Linked DNA regions of Arabidopsis thaliana. The protein of the gene in region 2 interacts with the protein of the main gene of each other region in a pairwise test. Each region holds a gene or a part of one and is shown on either strand. Other genes may lie near its edges.

What was found.
Region 1: the proteins of AT1G05410 (region 2) and AT3G04860 interact in a two-hybrid assay, tested with the Arabidopsis thaliana proteins (one large-scale study listed by BioGRID).
Region 3: the proteins of AT1G05410 (region 2) and APR3 interact in a two-hybrid assay, tested with the Arabidopsis thaliana proteins (one large-scale study listed by BioGRID).
Region 4: the proteins of AT1G05410 (region 2) and AT5G65400 interact in a two-hybrid assay, tested with the Arabidopsis thaliana proteins (one large-scale study listed by BioGRID).

The regions. Positions count from the first base shown.
Region 1 is NC_003074.8:1,338,324-1,342,365, reverse strand, and holds AT3G04860 (hypothetical protein (DUF868)), read left to right. Parts: upstream 1-1,742; 5' UTR 1,743-1,977; intron 1,978-2,060; 5' UTR 2,061-2,147; coding exon 2,148-3,017; 3' UTR 3,018-3,539; downstream 3,540-4,042.
Region 2 is NC_003070.9:1,584,842-1,589,436, reverse strand, and holds AT1G05410 (CDPK adapter, putative (DUF1423)), read left to right. Parts: upstream 1-1,642; 5' UTR 1,643-1,841; intron 1,842-2,158; 5' UTR 2,159-2,168; coding exon 2,169-2,529; intron 2,530-2,713; coding exon 2,714-3,279; intron 3,280-3,346; coding exon 3,347-3,407; intron 3,408-3,505; coding exon 3,506-3,933; 3' UTR 3,934-4,066; downstream 4,067-4,595. Other genes in the region: AT1G05400 (uncharacterized protein), read right to left, coding at 4,193-4,276, 4,377-4,595.
Region 3 is NC_003075.7:11,656,504-11,660,947, reverse strand, and holds APR3 (APS reductase 3), read left to right. Parts: upstream 1-1,842; 5' UTR 1,843-1,891; coding exon of another isoform or gene 1,892-1,974; coding exon 1,975-2,053; intron 2,054-2,195; coding exon 2,196-2,330; intron 2,331-2,416; coding exon 2,417-2,552; intron 2,553-2,637; coding exon 2,638-3,664; 3' UTR 3,665-3,940; downstream 3,941-4,444. Other genes in the region: AT4G22000 (tyrosine sulfotransferase-like protein), read left to right, coding at 746-1,138; APG8A (Ubiquitin-like superfamily protein), read right to left, coding at 4,139-4,242, 4,331-4,444. UniProt on the Arabidopsis thaliana protein: Reduces sulfate for Cys biosynthesis. Substrate preference is adenosine-5'-phosphosulfate (APS) >> 3'-phosphoadenosine-5'-phosphosulfate (PAPS). Uses glutathione or DTT as source of protons.
Region 4 is NC_003076.8:26,129,615-26,133,804, reverse strand, and holds AT5G65400 (alpha/beta-Hydrolases superfamily protein), read right to left. Parts: upstream 2,523-4,190; 5' UTR 2,412-2,522; coding exon 2,079-2,411; intron 1,921-2,078; coding exon 1,822-1,920; intron 1,725-1,821; coding exon 1,683-1,724; intron 1,454-1,682; coding exon 1,309-1,453; intron 1,065-1,308; coding exon 963-1,064; intron 835-962; coding exon 743-834; 3' UTR 505-742; downstream 1-504.

The DNA.
Region 1 (4,042 bases), on a different chromosome or scaffold from region 2:
AACGTTTAGGCTATAATCTCGGTTATTCGTTGTTAAGTCTCAAGAAATGATAATCCGAATCAAATATGGGCTGGTGTATTTAAAAAGGCTGAGACCCAAAACAATATTTTTGTTTGGCAACATCTATATATATATATTTTTGCAACACTTTTATGAAATAAATCCATAAATCCTGAAATTGAGGTTTATTTACAATCCAATGCTATTGGCATTTAATATTTTAATAAATTTATTCTTAAATCTAAATATAAATCAATTTTGTTACTAAAATTTAGAAAACAAAAAGAAAAATAGTCACAGAAATCATTTAAATCTTTTCAAATCTAAACTAAAATATACTACACACTAACTTAAAATTAACTTAAAATCATTTAAATCTTTCCAAATTTAAACTTCTAAAATAATTAAAATATTTTGCCCAAAAAACAAATAATAATAAAAATATCATGAGACAAGTTATATAGTGAAGCGGATTTGGATTGATATAACACGGGTTAAATATTTATTTATTATTTTATCATCACTAATTTTTTATTTACAATATTAATATAAAATTATATAACTTTAATATTAAATTAAAACCATAAAATTTAATATTATTATATATATAAATAAAATATTTGTCCCGTGGTGTACCACGGGTTAAATCCTAGTATCACTTATTTCTGTTTTGTTTTAACGTTTTTAAGATTTTATAGCTTCTTGAAAGAAACGACTCATCCTACAAATTACAATCTTTGTCAATGTTTAGGATTTTTTATTTGCATTTTTATCTTCTGTTTTGAGAAGATGTCCGTCGCTCACAAGTAGATAGGGAGACATATTATTAATTTTAAATCAATACTAGTATAAAATAACAAACGACACCAACAACACGATAATATTAATAACGAAAATGAGACTACGATAAAATAAAAAAATAAAAAATCAGATCCCAAGAAAATAATGTTAAACTACTGGGACCTGCTTTATTACAGGTTGGTCCAAATTTCAATCGGAAACATACATAATGATAATTAATTATTCCAAGACTTTTGCGGTAGCATTGCCAAACAAAAGGAAACAGTTTAACCTATTTGGTATGATAACTTTGTTCGTTTTGATAATTAAACATATGCTCTTCACCCACCTATTTGGTTGACAATGGAATGAAGAGTCAAGACATATGATTGATTATCGTATGAAAAATTCAATCGCTAAACTACCTCTAAAAACGGTATATGACTAATTAATCCATTAGCGAAAGCCCAAGAGAGCAGTGAGAGTGGGCTCAATCGTGGGTATTAACTACATGCCTACTACAAGTCATGAGATACCAATGGTTATCATACCACACGTGGCAACCATTCCTTCCAGCCTTTCATATACTTTTTTAATTTTTATCCTACTTTTTTTTTTAAGAATATACATAAAAAATTCACTATAATGAGACAAAGTTAAAACCCTTTATTATTTAACTTAAAGCACAGAAGAAAATGTGAGTATTTGTGTCAAAAATAACAAAGTTCGAACCAAAGTTTGTAAATTTTTTGATTAAAATCTAAGATGATGTAAAAAAGAAAAGAATGTAAATAATGTTTTTGTCCGAAATTTATTGTTACAGTCGTTTTCCGCTGAATTAAATTCGAATTTGGTACTTTGCCAAGAAAATCGGGTAATTATTTTAACGTTTTTAGAAAAAATGACTCAGACAGTGAAAACAAAGTTTCCTTTTTGTCTGTTTCTGTCTTTTATTTTTGACTACAGTAGTAGGCACACACACATTCTCTTCTATTTTGGCGAATTTCGCCTTTTGTGCATTCTCTCTCTCTCTCTCCCGGAGTCTCAGGCTTTCTCTTAACTTCTCATTCTCTCCTTGGTTGATGAAACTGGATCGATTTGATAGAACCCAGATCAAATCTGTTGACATTTTTCCAGATTTCGATGCTTTTTTGAGATTGGGTTTCTCTTTCTTTTGATGAAACTTATCACTTTCAGGTAAATCCTATAGTCTAAACACTTGCTTTTACGAAATTTCGTTACTAAACTGAAGTTAAATTCGCCGCCTTTGAATTTCTCAGCGTTGCCCAGTTTTGGCCACAAGGTGTTTGTTGAAATTCCGGAGAGAGAGAGAAGCTCGAAATTGGGAATTCTGTAAGGAAAAAAAAATGAGAGATTTTCCTTCTTGCTCTGGTGAAAATGGTGTTCAGATTGCGGACTCTTCGTCTTCCTCGAGCGCTGGAAGAAATGCTCAGAATTTGGTAATATGCATCTACCGTTGCCGCATCCGAGGTAGGACTTGCTTGATCACAGTCACATGGACTAAGAATCTGATGGGTCAGTGTGTTACCGTGGGGGTTGATGATTCTTGCAACCGAAGTCTGTGTAAAGTCGAGATTAAGCCGTGGCTCTTCACTAAACGAAAAGGGTCCAAGACTCTAGAGGCGTATGCCTGTAATATCGATGTTTTCTGGGATCTCTCGTCTGCTAAATTTGGATCCAGCCCTGAACCTTTAGGAGGGTTCTATGTTGGAGTTGTTGTTGACAAAGAGATGGTTCTTCTTCTTGGTGATATGAAGAAAGAAGCTTTTAAAAAGACGAATGCTGCACCTTCTTCATCTTTAGGTGCTGTGTTCATTGCTAAGAAAGAGCATGTCTTTGGCAAGAGAACGTTTGCAACTAAAGCTCAGTTTTCAGGTGATGGCAAAACTCATGATCTTGTGATCGAGTGTGACACTAGTCTCAGTGATCCTTGTCTCATTGTTCGTGTCGATGGAAAGATCTTGATGCAAGTGCAGCGGCTTCATTGGAAGTTCCGTGGCAACGATACCATAATTGTCAATAGAATCTCTGTGGAAGTTCTCTGGGATGTCCACAGTTGGTTCTTTGGGTTGCCATCATCACCAGGAAATGCAGTGTTTATGTTCAGGACTTGTCAATCTGTTGAAAAGACCTGGTCTTTCACACAGGTCCCCACGAGCTCAAAATCTCAAAGTTTTGGGTTTTCATTGATTCTGTATGCTTGGAAGAACGAGTAGAGAAGAAGAGTTTTGAGAGTTCTTTTGTTTCTCTTGAGTGCTAACTAAAGGTTAAAAAGGAACTGTTGATTCTTGTCAATTTATTTTATCATATGATCAATTGGTTTCAATTATAGTTTTCTCGTAAAATGTTCGAACCGGATCATTGAAGTATATATCAGTTTCATATGTCAAAAGTTTTTACTTGAGACTTGTAAAGACTTTTGTTCAAAGCCGATTACTTTAGCCCTGTATCAAGAAACCAACTGTCTAGATACTCTGTTTTGTTCTCCATGTGCATAATGTTCCTCAATACACTTGATAGTTCTAACTACATTAAGGGTTTCTTTGGTGTATGGTCTTTCTTCTATTGGCTGTTCAATTGTGGACAAATCAGATTATAACGATCTGAGCTAAAGCTAGTAGTTACAAGAAGATTATCAAACATGTGCTTTGCATCCATCTAGATATTCTTGCTGAATCATTTTATCAAGTATATGTATCTTCCTTTTAGAGATATATCATGTATTTGGTTTTGTTTAGCGCCATACCTTTTGAGACATTGTATATAGCACTTTGTTATTATCCAGCTCTTTGCAGTTTCTGCAGGTTTAAAGAGTATTTTATCAAGGATTCTAGAGAGACGTGGGTTTGTACTTGAAGATTCTTAAATTGTGAATCAGTAAGTCATGTTTCAAGTTTTCACATTTCAATTATTTCCTTGCTGCGGTCTCTTCTCTAGCCCTCCTAGACTGCTAAAAAAATTAAAGATTATAATAGCATGATAGATACTCTTGCTGAATCATATGGTTTAGGTAGGGTTTTCAACTTGCTTCAAACAAACCTCTCTATAGTTGTTCCTGTTCCTTAGAAAAACTGTCTGAATAATGTTTTGAGTTTTGACTGTTGGGTTTGTCCAAATAATGTTTTGAAAACTTTTCCTTGAAGCTGTTCTTGTAGCATGAACCCGTGACATGAGAGAGTTTGCAAAGTTTATTATGATTCGATATCCACCGAAAAGTGTACAACATAGCACTCTTGCTTGA
Region 2 (4,595 bases):
AAACATGAAAAAGCGCCTACGCGTAAAGTATTTGTTTTTTTTCTTAGATTTGATAGAAGGGAAATAAGGTTATATACGGACATGCAAATATTTATATGTTTTCTCCATTATCAACATATACAAATTATATGAGTAAACTTCAACAATATAATCCAAAATTGTACTGTTTATCTTTATATTTTCACGCTTTTTTTTTCTTAATGTCATAGGCAAAAATTCTGCGGGGAGAGCAAAACCTTTATTGTTTAGTAAATAATTTTCTTCAATTCATTTACGAACTCTAGACATAATAAATAAATTAACGCCAAATAAGAGGAATTATTGTCCTTGCAAATATATACAGCAAGAACTCACGAGGAGGCAATGTTTGGACTAACCTAAACTGGCCATCTCATGACTCAAAGACGAAAGATCGATGTTTGTGCAAAGTACACTGACTCACTTCACTTCTCATTGATCAATCTTAACTAATATTTGTTCTCTTCCCTTTTTCAGTTTATCTTAGACCATTGTTTCTCCTAGCAACAAATTCACCGAATGATCATGTCGCGATTAGTTTTGGGATAAAATCATAAAATTGCTTCTCATCAAGAATTGCTCCGCAAAATCAATGTTCAAGCAGATTACTAGACCAAAATTTATGATCGAGTAGTCCGAATATAATCTTTTGCATTTAAAGCCTCTAAAATTTACAAATATCTAACCAATGTTACAACATGGCATGTACCTAGTACAAGCTACTAGGTTACAACTTCAGAGCGAAGAATTAAAAAATGAGAATCCTATATTAATGAATATTCTCGCTTGAGAAATCTATGCATGACAACTTTCTATCATCAACAATAATAATTAGATTTGATCAATCTCTGTCGACGAGAACCCGCCAAAAGTGGTGACTGAGAGACATGTCACACAACATCGCCCTATTTATACGTAGAAATATCGATCTATATATATATATATACTAGATCGACAATAATATGGTAAGTTTTTTTATTTTAAATATGGTAAGTAATAAATGCTTGTAATACGAAAGGCCTTTATGCTCTACTCATTGTTTGGTGTATAAAAAAAAAATGGAATCAAGGTGTCAGATATGATGGTACAGCAATTTTTAGCCCCACACGTTGTCATTTTTCTTTGGAAGGTACATTGAGATCAATTTCTATTTTTGTATTATTTTGAAATCATCATATAGTTTCATTGGATTTATCACAAGAGGAATCTTATAAAAATGCGAATGGGTATATCTATCTCTCTTTCAATATCTATGTCACACAAGTGTTGTTGCTATATTGTAGGGACATGTCAAAACTTGTCGACAAAAGCTCCATGAATGGGAAACATTGACATCAAGATACAAAATCACATGATTCTTCAACTTGTGAAAGTTTTCGAGTGTGAACATCAGACTCACATAAAACTCCATTGTAGATATCTCTTGTCATAAGACACTGTCACATTCAATATCGTTTTCAAACTCTCCAAAATACTGCCTGATTGCAATGTTACAATTTTGTCATGGACCCACCAATCCCTGTGAACCAAGCCGGTTACTGTTTATTACTCCGACCCGACCCGGGCTTTTTAAAGATAGGCCCAAGAAGGCCCAATGATTGAAATGTGAAATGTTTGATACATTGATGTTTTTGATCTTCGCTCAAACCCTACAATAAAACTTTGGTTCCTCCGAATTTCGAGTTCTTGTTCTTCCCAAGGCCCCTACTTCGGCCCTAGCATCAACCATTGTCGTTTTAAAGCTCCAGGTTTTCATGGCCAAGAAAGAAGTAACTATCGTTGAGATCTTCTGAAATTAATCAGTCTTGAAGTCTCTGGAGATTGTACGTTTCTCTTCTTCCTTTCCTCGTCGGTTTTAATGGATTCCGTTTGCCTGATTTGCAGTTTCTGCTTCACCGTGAAATCGAAACTCGTTTTGCTCTTAAACAAATATTATGCATGCGTTTCAATTTGGGTCTTTTTCTTGACAATATTGGTTCTGTTTGGATTAAGAAATTGAAAATTAGTTTTGTAGCTGAGCCTTTTCTCTTGTGTGTATAGGAACTGAGCTATATCAGTAGTGTATCTAGCATATTTGATTAATGTTCCTTCATGTTGTTCTTATTGAAGCTGCTTCCATTGGTTTTGTGATTGAGTGCAGGTCTTATAACATGGACTCCATGGATATTGATCAAAGTAACATAGGTGAATCGCCTCACCTTCTGCTGAGACCAGTAAGTCCATTGGAATCTGGTGAAGGTTTACCTTATGCTCCTGAGAATTGGCCTAATCCTGGAGATACTTGGCATTGGAAGGTTGGACCGAGAATTAGCGGTAAAGGCTACTTCGTGGATAGATACTTATATCCTCCTAAGTATCTTCCCGGTTTAGATACTGAAATATTGCGGAAAAATAAGGTGTTTAGGAGCAGGCTCTCGCTCCAACGATATATTCGTGTACACTTCCCTGAAGCGGATGTTCAAAAGTTCTTTGCTTCTTTCAGCTGGAGCATACCCTGCAGAGATGGTCAAGGTTCAATTTACTCTATATGATGCTTTACTCAAATATATACAATTCCAGTAGACTTACTATGTTTTTCCTTATGCTTCTCTCATCGCATGTTTCTGTTAGTTCTTCTTAACCATATGAATTACGTTTCAACATTCTGAACAAGTTACTGATTTCTTGGCATGGTGATTTGTTCTCTGTTTGACAGGTGTTTTGCCTCAGAAGCAGGTTCAGTTACCAGTGTATAGCTCAGATGAAGATCCAATGCGTGATGATGGATCTGATACTGCGGTCTGTAAGGCTGGTAATGAAAAATGCCGGAGCCTGATGCCACAGTGCGAAGCCGAGACTTTACCTGCTATGCCTTGTGACATTTGCTGCGGTGAACGTAAGTTCTGCGTTGATTGCTGTTGCATCCTTTGCTGCAAGTTAATAAGTTTGGAGCATGGAGGCTATAGCTATATCAAATGTGAAGCTGTGGTTTCCGAGGGTCACATATGTGGACATGTTGCTCATATGAACTGTGCTCTTCGAGCTTATCTGGCTGGAACCATTGGAGGCAGCATGGGATTGGATACTGAATACTACTGCAGGCGATGTGACGCCAAAAAGGACTTGTTTCCACATGTCAACAAGTTTCTAGAAATATGTCAGACTGTAGAATATCAAGGCGACGTGGAGAAGATCCTGAATCTCGGTATTTGTATCTTGCGGGGAGCACAAAGAGACAATGCTAAGGAGCTATTAAATTGTATCGAATCAACAGTCATCAAGGTATAATATACTTTGTAAAATGTAATGTTTACTGGACGTTCCTGAAACTAAAGCCAACTCTTTTCAGCTTAAATGTGGCACGAGCTTGGAAGATCTCTGGAATGATGATACACCAACTATATGGTCAGGTACATATCCCTTAATCACGATCCTTTGCTTTGACTTGAATATGTATTGAAGTTGATTTATTGTTCATTATAACAGATTATCTTCATTCTGGTTGTAGATTACTCCGACAGTGGAGAAGCTAGAGAAAATGATACATTGCAAAGTTTACAGGACGTGACTCCAATTGGGCCCATACCATTCAACCATGAGGCTGAGATGCACAAACTCGAAGAAGAAATCGGCGAGGTTCTAAGAGCGCTGAGAAAGGCTCAGGAATTTGAGTACCAAATTGCAGAAGGCAAACTTCATGCTCAGAAAGAATGTCTGAGTGATCTGTATAGGCAGCTCGAGAAGGAGAAGTCAGAGCTGTCGAGGCGAGTATCAGGTACAGATGCGAATAGCTTGATGACGAATGTGCTGAAGAGATTGGATCAGATTAGAAAAGAAGTCACAAAGCTTAAAGAAATGGAAGAAGTAGCCAAGGGATTTGGTAGGACACCTAGAGGGGTTCTTGAAGAGTACTTTCATCTAAACATCGAGGACTAAGATTTATATAAGCACATCCATAATTGTACATTCGTTATGACGTTTGTTTTGTAAGTTTTTGATTCTTCCTCGTAAATCTGAGTTTTGGATGGTCATTTGTTTATTCATTAATCAATTTACGAGTAACAAATGCACAAAAGGTACAATGAAAAGGTCTTCTCCTTCATAAATTGAGATTTAAAATGACAATTATGGAATTAAAAACTTGGAGCCATCAATTAGCTAAATGGCCTTAAAGAGATACAAAAACATAATATGATCAACTTTGGTTGCCACCCCTAGTAGCATTCTCCGGACAAGAATCAAGAGGAGGCTCACCTTTGGGGTTAGTAAAGCGTTGACGCTGCGAGGAAAAAGACAGACGGGGTCAAATTTAGGCAAAGAAAAGAACAACTGAGAAAGAGAGAATATAGTTAAACAAGTGGCAAGGATGCTTAAATTACCTTGAGTTCATGTTCTCGAGTAGAGAGATGCGTGATGAAATTATCAACGCCTTGGCCAGCAATACCTGGGCCACAAATACGACGGCACACAGAGCAAATCCAGGAGGCAGGTCCAGGCGTTTCACTGCAGCTATCCTCCTCCTCCTCAAGTGGCCCTGGATCAGCTAGAAGAAAGTTTTTCCAGAGGGTGGAGGAGGCTTCTCGAGGAGACTCAAGTGG
Region 3 (4,444 bases), on a different chromosome or scaffold from region 2:
TTTAAAATATTTATACTAAGTAATTACAAATAATTTGGGTGAGAAAACAAAAAAGAAATAGGAAAAGGGTTTACTAACGCCAAAAAACCCAACCCTTGTCTGCGTTCTTCATCAGCGCCGCGTTCTCAAAGTTGCTCTCACAGTCTCCGATCTCCAATTTTATGTAAGTTCTTTCTCTCATTCCGATTCCAAGTTTCGTATCGATCTCTAAGTAGATTCGTATTAAGCTATAAGAGATTGATGAACCTAGTTGCTCCCGTACTCGAGAGGCTTAGATTTGGAATCGAAATCGATTGTGATGATGTTTAGTTAACGAAACCCAGTCACTAAATCCTTGCGTTGAGCTTATCAAACCCTAATTTTAGAGGATTTAGATCCATTTGCATCACATTTCTGCGTAGTAAATCAAGAATTAGTCTCCAAAGACTCTTCTTTTAACAACATTTCAACCAATCTGCGTTTGATTTGTAAGAAATGTTGTGTCAAGTTCACTCTCACTATGATCTCTCTTTGGATTCAAAGTTTGTATCTTTTTGCTTCTATGCATCACCAAATCTCTCTTTGGATTCAAAGTTTGTATCTTTTTGCTTCTATGCATCACTATCATATAATACCTTCCTTCAATTGATCTCCTCTGCTTTTAGCTAGCAAGTTTATAGGTTTCTTAACTTATTGTGAGCTAATTGGATTACAATGAGATATTATCATCTTTAAAGAATTGTGGTTTTGGGCATATGCAGAAGTTATGGCTGGAAAAGCTGCAGAAGCTGTGGCAAAGACAGTGACAGGGTTTCAACATCCATGGAGGGCGAAACTCGATAAGTACAGAACCGAGTTGACGAAAGGTGTGTGGGGTTATTGGGAGATGGGAGCATGGAAACCGTTAGGGATAAGTGCACGAAGGAGGGCTATGCTGAGGAAAGAAGTGTTGACTAATGGAGAAGATTGGCCTTATGATCCAGAGAGGAAAGCTATGAGGACAAAGAGGAAAGGGCATAAATGTGATAGAATTTCAGCTGAGAAAAGAGAGAACACTGCGAAGCTTATGTTGAAGATGCCTCAGATGTTGCTTGATTATAAGAAGAGAAGGTGGGAAAAGAAGATGAAGGAAGAAGAGAAAGCTAAAGAAGACAAGTAATTGATTTGTTGAGATCATGATTACTATAGACTTGGTTGATGAATAAGAATAATTTAGTTTGTTGATCTTATGAAATCTTGGAAGGTTTAAGATCACAAGTTTGCTTCTGATATACTTTTGTATGATGTTTTTTTATGTTTGTTTTTAACAGAACCCAAAAGTGTTTGTGGTTAGGATCGGAATTTGTTTTTCAACCAAGACTAATTTTGACTGTAAAATATGGTTTATGAAATATCGGTTCGTGCAATTTCTAGAAGAAATGAAGAGATCGATAGGTTTTGTAGATAAATTGATAAGTTAAACTAAATGATAGAATCGTAACAAACGAAAAATAATCTCAGTGAAAGAAAATCTCAACTGTTTTTATTTAGTTAATTCTATAAATATGATCGTTTTTTCGGATTTTTAAGGAAAGAATACACGAGAAAGTATTTATCTAAAATTAATAATCAAACATATCACCATGTTTATATTTTACAAATTAGATTAATTTATTATTAGATTATTTTTGTTAGCTCTAAAATAAAATTAAGCGTGTAAAATGTTTTTGAGATAAGTGTATGTTACATTAATAGAAAAAAAAAGAATTCTTGGACCAAAGTTGACTAGTTTTCTCTGCCACACGACCAAAGTGACGCAAGCAATGATATATAGAAAAGCAAATGCCGCCACCTAAAAAAAGACGTCTAGGTTCAATGAACCTAAATTTCAGCTGCTTCTTTTATAATCCCATTTCTCTCAACAAATCTTAAGAGAACACAAAATTAGAAAAAACACAACACAAAAATAAAAAAAACTTAAGAACATTGTTTCGAGAGATTTGGTTTGGAGTGAAAATGGCACTAGCAATCAACGTTTCTTCATCTTCTTCTTCTGCGATCTCAAGCTCTAGCTTCCCTTCTTCAGATCTCAAAGGTAATTTATTTCATTTTCAATACCAAATTCGTGGAGAATCTTAGAAATGCCTTGATTGGTCATTGTGTTTTGGTTTTAAATTCGTTCAAATTCGATCAATGTCGAATCTTATTCAATTTGTTTGTTTGATTCTTCAATACAGTAACAAAAATCGGATCATTGAGGTTATTGAATCGTACCAATGTCTCTGCGGCTTCTCTGAGTTTGTCCGGGAAGAGATCCTCCGTGAAAGCTCTTAATGTGCAATCAATTACAAAGGAATCCATTGTTGCTTCTGGTAAGTTCTGGTTTGATTTTTCAATTGATCATTGGTTAATTTGATTAAGGTTTATGCTAATGATCTTGTGCTTCATTACAAAACAGAGGTTACAGAGAAGCTAGATGTGGTGGAAGTTGAAGACTTTGAGGAACTAGCAAAGAGATTAGAGAATGCTTCTCCTCTTGAGATCATGGATAAAGCTCTTGAGAAGTTTGGGAATGACATTGCTATTGCCTTTAGGTAATGAATTGAATCATGAGAATACAATAAAGGAATGTTTTTGTTTTCCTTTAGTTTGCTGATTTGTTGTTTTGTTTGGTTTCAGTGGAGCTGAAGATGTTGCTCTGATTGAGTATGCTCATTTAACTGGAAGACCTTATAGGGTATTCAGTTTGGATACAGGGAGATTGAATCCAGAAACATATAGACTCTTCGATACCGTGGAGAAACATTACGGTATTCGGATTGAGTATATGTTTCCTGATGCTGTTGAGGTTCAAGCTTTAGTTAGGAACAAGGGTTTGTTCTCTTTCTATGAAGATGGTCACCAGGAGTGTTGCCGTATTAGAAAGGTGAGACCTTTGAGGCGTGCGTTGAAGGGTTTACGTGCTTGGATCACTGGTCAGAGGAAAGATCAATCACCCGGGACAAGATCGGAGATTCCTGTTGTTCAGGTTGATCCAGTGTTTGAAGGATTAGATGGTGGAGTTGGTAGTTTGGTGAAGTGGAATCCGGTTGCTAATGTTGAAGGGAATGATGTTTGGAATTTCTTGAGGACGATGGATGTTCCTGTCAACACGCTTCACGCTGCGGGTTATGTTTCAATCGGATGTGAGCCATGCACGAGAGCGGTTTTGCCGGGTCAGCATGAGAGAGAAGGGAGATGGTGGTGGGAAGATGCTAAGGCTAAAGAGTGTGGCCTTCACAAAGGGAATATCAAGGAGAATACCAATGGAAACGCAACCGCTAATGTCAACGGGACAGCCTCAGTCGCGGATATCTTCAATAGCGAGAATGTTGTGAACTTGAGCAGGCAAGGGATTGAGAATTTGATGAAGTTAGAGAACCGGAAAGAGGCTTGGATCGTTGTGCTTTATGCACCGTGGTGCCCGTTTTGTCAGGCAATGGAAGCTTCATTCGATGAATTGGCGGATAAGCTGGGAGGAAGTGGTGTGAAGGTTGCTAAGTTTAGAGCTGATGGTGACCAGAAGGACTTTGCCAAAAAGGAGTTGCAGCTTGGAAGCTTTCCAACAATACTTGTGTTCCCAAAGAACTCTTCAAGACCAATCAAGTATCCATCAGAGAAGAGAGATGTTGATTCTTTGACATCTTTCTTGAATCTTGTTCGGTAAATCCGCAATAAAATCCGCCGACTCTACGATGACGAAGAGATCAATAATAGACCATCCAGTCTCGTTCCAGATTGCTAGAACAGATGAAGAAGGTGAAGATGAGAATCTCTATTTGGAGCTTTAGCCTTTTGTATAGCTGTGGTTAAAAATAATTACGCCAAGGTTTTGCCTTTTGTGAGTTTATTTTTACCAATTTTCAGTGTATTACTCCTTTTTTGCCTTTGTGATGGATATGAACAAGTTTGATATGAAAGTGACTCATTACTCATTAGCCCCAAAATCAATGTTATTTAAGTAAAAGCAAAAGAGGAAAGTAAGAAAAGGAGAAGTTTCTGACGATTAATAAACCCAAAGGGAAAGATATCCAAACATCCAAAGCAAAGTTAAAAGCCAGAGAAAAGAAGGAAGCAATGTACATCTTTATCTTCCTGATTTATGTATGTACATCAAAGTCATCCAAAGATCGATTTTTATTCAAGCAACGGTAAGAGATCCAAAAGTGTTCTCTCCACTGTAAGTCATGTAGAGGAACCCATCCTCATCTTTGTGTTCTTCATAGATCGCAGACATCAATGCAGCTGTTAAGAAACAAAAGTGAAACCAAAGTTAGTGGTAAAGAAAGAAACTTTGATCCTGAATGGTGTTAAAGAGTTTAAGAACTCTTACCAGTTGGAGGCAATGTGTTCTTAACAAAGACAAAAATAGCTTTCTCAGCTCCAAGCTTGATTCTTTTACGAACCACGTATACAAATTGTCCCACTGTTAGATCAGCTGGTACAA
Region 4 (4,190 bases), on a different chromosome or scaffold from region 2:
ATGATGATGATTTGTTAAAAGTGCATGAAAACTAAACAGTTAAAGCTTTGCAAGCGTGAGAATACTTATGATGGGTATACATATAAGTCTGAAATTACACAACCCATGTCGACGTCTACTGTTTATCATATATTTATTTTGAAATGAGGGGTAATCATATGATCTGTAATTCGATATGTTCAATCAATTATTTCATACAAGAATAAAAAAAGAGTTGAAATTTTGTTTTTTTTTTAAGACTAGAAAGCAACCGACAAGGCTAAGTTAATAGGGTATAAGGGGGTAGATTGAAAAAGAAGTAAAACTTTGTTACAAGTGGAACTCATAGATTATCATGAGATCCATTTGACCATTAATACATCTAAAGGACAATAATTTAACTCACCTTCTTTGATGCCCCCCTCCATATTTTTTGTTCTTCCATCATTTTTTTTTTTTGTTGTTAAATTCTCCTAACATTTTTCCTATAACAAAGAAAAAAGTTTGAATAGAGTTTTTGATATTGGCTGCTCATATATTTAAAGGAAGACAATTGTACCAAACTATTTGACCATCTTTGGCTCTTCTCTATAAACTGTAATTACATGAACGGGCAATCCATATTGGTTGGTAAATTTAATAATTTACGTTTATTGAATTGTCCCTGGATAAAGACTAAACCAGAAGAATAATCACATCTCACAATTTTATAAAATTGCAAGATCATCTAATCTAAAGTAAACCATACTGGAGTAGCTCTCAGTCACATCAAGCTTCTTACAGAACCTGATTCATCAGAAAGCATCTGCCTAATGCTCTGGAAGAAACTCAACATTGTCTCCTCAGCTTTAGTATCTGCAGAAGACAAAGATAAGCTCATTAGAGTAAATTAAGAAGAGACAGATCTTATGTTACTTATTTCAATTGCATATTTCTCCAAAAAAAATCAGAGCTTAAATGATCAGCCTTTCATGCTTACTAACCGAGTTTTGGTATAATGTGTCCACCTGAATGATGGATCACCACTGGCTCTACGAATGATTCTACAAGCACTTCACCTTCTATCTTCAGGAAATCCCTCTCACCTGCAGCAAAACCGATACAGAATTACAAACAAGTTGTCTCTTATGTCATATCAAATGTTGTAGGAGAGAATCTCTAACGTTAACATGTAGTGCTGCAGATTAGATTCTAGTCTAAACACTCCCATGCCAATCTTGGCTACACTAAAGGCACACTACTAACGTAAGCTTCAAACAACAGAAACTTGGCATTACAACATAACCGAGAAATCAAGTCAAGAACATGCGCAACGTAGTAACAGTTTACCTATGAAGTGGAGTGATGGGCAACGAACTGGAGATGAGAATGCATTAACAGCAGCTTTAGGCTCCCCAAACATCAACCCTGGAATTTTCGCTCCAGAAATGATAACTAAAAACTTGACTTTTGGCACCTTAGTTAGAGCCGATCCCTACAAAACAGTTTACAACATCACAGACTTACTCAAACTATTAAAACAACATGTTTCATTCTTCAATTCAGATTCAACCTCTCTGTTGCATATAAATGGTTTCAACATCACACACTTGCTCAAAACAGAACAATAGAAAACTACTCTAACAATAGGTTTCATTCTTCAAAATATCATAAGCAGATTCAATCTCAGAACCAGGATTATGATCAGTTATGCAGTTATGTACCTGTTCTTGCATTCCAGGAATAGCTGCAGTTAGAAAAGCTCCCTGCAAGAATGGATCAAGAATCAACGGTCCACGATCCTCCTGCTGATATATATGAAAGTGATCAGTACTAAAATCTCGCCAAAGAATCAAAACAAACCTGAGAAAAACCAAGAAGACCATCAAAAGGTCCATTCTTTATCATGTAGTCCTCTATATAAGCCAAACACTCTTCAAAATTCCTATATTCCTTAAACCCCTGCAAACACACACACACACAAATCAAATTATGTATACAAACTTAGACCAAATCTCTCTGTTTTCTAGAGAAAAAAAACAACCTTTACTCTGATAGTGTTAACAGTGTCAATGATCAATACTGAATTCAAGGAAATTTAGGATTTTGTTGCAACGAACCTTGTTAGCCTGGTACCACTCGTAATACGGTGGGTCAAAGAAACGCTCGACGTCCGATTTCCCGGTGGCCGGAAAAGGAGCGTCAAGGAAATCGAGGTCGAGATCTCGGAGAATTGTGTCCGGCCATTTACCTATACCGGCTTGGAGAATCCGACCACTAGTTCTGAATCCATGAAGGCATAAAATTCTAGGGTTCTTCGGTTTCAGGTGAATTTCCGGCGCCATCGCCGTCGTTAACCGTAATCCCGTTTGGAAACAAGGATAGGAGTATCCTAACATCTGACAAGCTCTAGCTCTCTTCTCAGGTTTCGAATTGTCCTTGTGCCCTAACATATCGCTTGTCGCGAAAGTTTTGGTAGAAAGGCCCAAAACTCTATAGGCCCATAAAGAAGAATCCTTTGAAATCAGTTTCGCAAATATCGGCCCATATCATTGTTTATCTCTTATTACAAATATTTTCCAAACTTTCAAGAGTTACAATTACAAATAGATCAATATATATATAGACAATGAAAATTATGTATGGAGAAGCTTACTCGAAGAAATGAGAGTTTTCCACTAACAAAAAAAACTTGTATATTCATCATAATCTAACTTTTTTTTAGATAATCCAAATCATGCTTTAAATTATGTAAAGTTCAGTTAGAAGTGAATACATGTTGCTCTAAGAGTTACAACAACATAAAGCCAGCACAAAACTCATGCTTTAGCATTCTCTTCCCCTAAATAAATATATGCTTCTTGGCTATATATATTATTAGACACGCATATGGGACATCATGTTTTTTTTTTTTTTTTTTTTTACAATTATCAAGAAAATGGTTTGGAGTCGAGGTGGTCTTTCGGCAATTTTGACTGCAGCCGAAGCCAAAGATAAAGAAATTTCGACATTAAACCTCAACAGTTTTTTCATATGGATTCAAAGCAAACTACTATGTATAGATTCATTTTTAACACTTAATTCATCCTCTAGGAATCCCACACTGATGTAATCAAATCGTATATATTGCAAATGAACTTTATAGCATATGTAACAAAGCAAGTTATAGTGCATATATAACGAACTTGTCGTTATCATCTGAAACAACCTGTAATGATCTTCTCAATTCTTTATATTGATGTTCACACTAATGAAAATAAAGTTGGATGCAAATATTTTGAACTTTTAGTTAGGGATTAATCAATCGAGTCAGTGCAATAAAAATTGTAGGTATAGTGTATAATCGTCGGTTGGTTTCGCATCATATGGGCCTCATAAAATTGCCAACTATAATTCAGTTCATTTTGTCAAATACCGATTATATTTTAATTTAATGATTAATACGAACCTTCTGGATTCACTGTAAAATGACCTTTACAGGCTATCAAATGTCTTCTTCCGTTGTTATGTTATGTTGTAATGTATATGTACCCGTTTTATTTGGGGTTATAATATTTGTATTTATTATTCAACTATATAAAATTCTCTGACAGCTATCTCCAACTCTTGTTACTACTAGCAACAAACACAAGAGATAGTAATGGACAAAAGAAAATAAATAAAACGAAAAACAGCAAATATCCAACGGTAACGACAACAATAAAACCATAACCAGTAATCAAAAATTATCCCGATAGGTCTGCTACGCACATGGGATATACGATAATAACGACATCGTTCTTTCTTGATAGATCTGTATTTTTGTCATTAAGGTTCATCGTATACGGGCAAAGAGATCGTTACTATTTACTATATCAGAAAAAGTATACTATTATTATCGGTGGGTGGATCGATTAGACAGTAAGACAAACATGATACAATATTCAATACTACTTCATTATACGTTTTCTCTCTCCAATTATTATTGACAATCATGATTCGATTTAGCTAAACCAATCCGGTCTTCTAAAACCATTGATGATTTTATACTCAACGGATAGAATTGGTTCTCAACTTCGATTTCTCATCTACTATACTTACCAAATCATTAAAAAATGACAAATTTACAACTAAGAGCTAAAAATTGAGTTAACCTAAAAATCCTACAAAATTATATATATACATATATGCGACTACATTATAGTGATAAAATGATCTATCACTTAATTATGTTTAGTTTTGAAAATGTATTC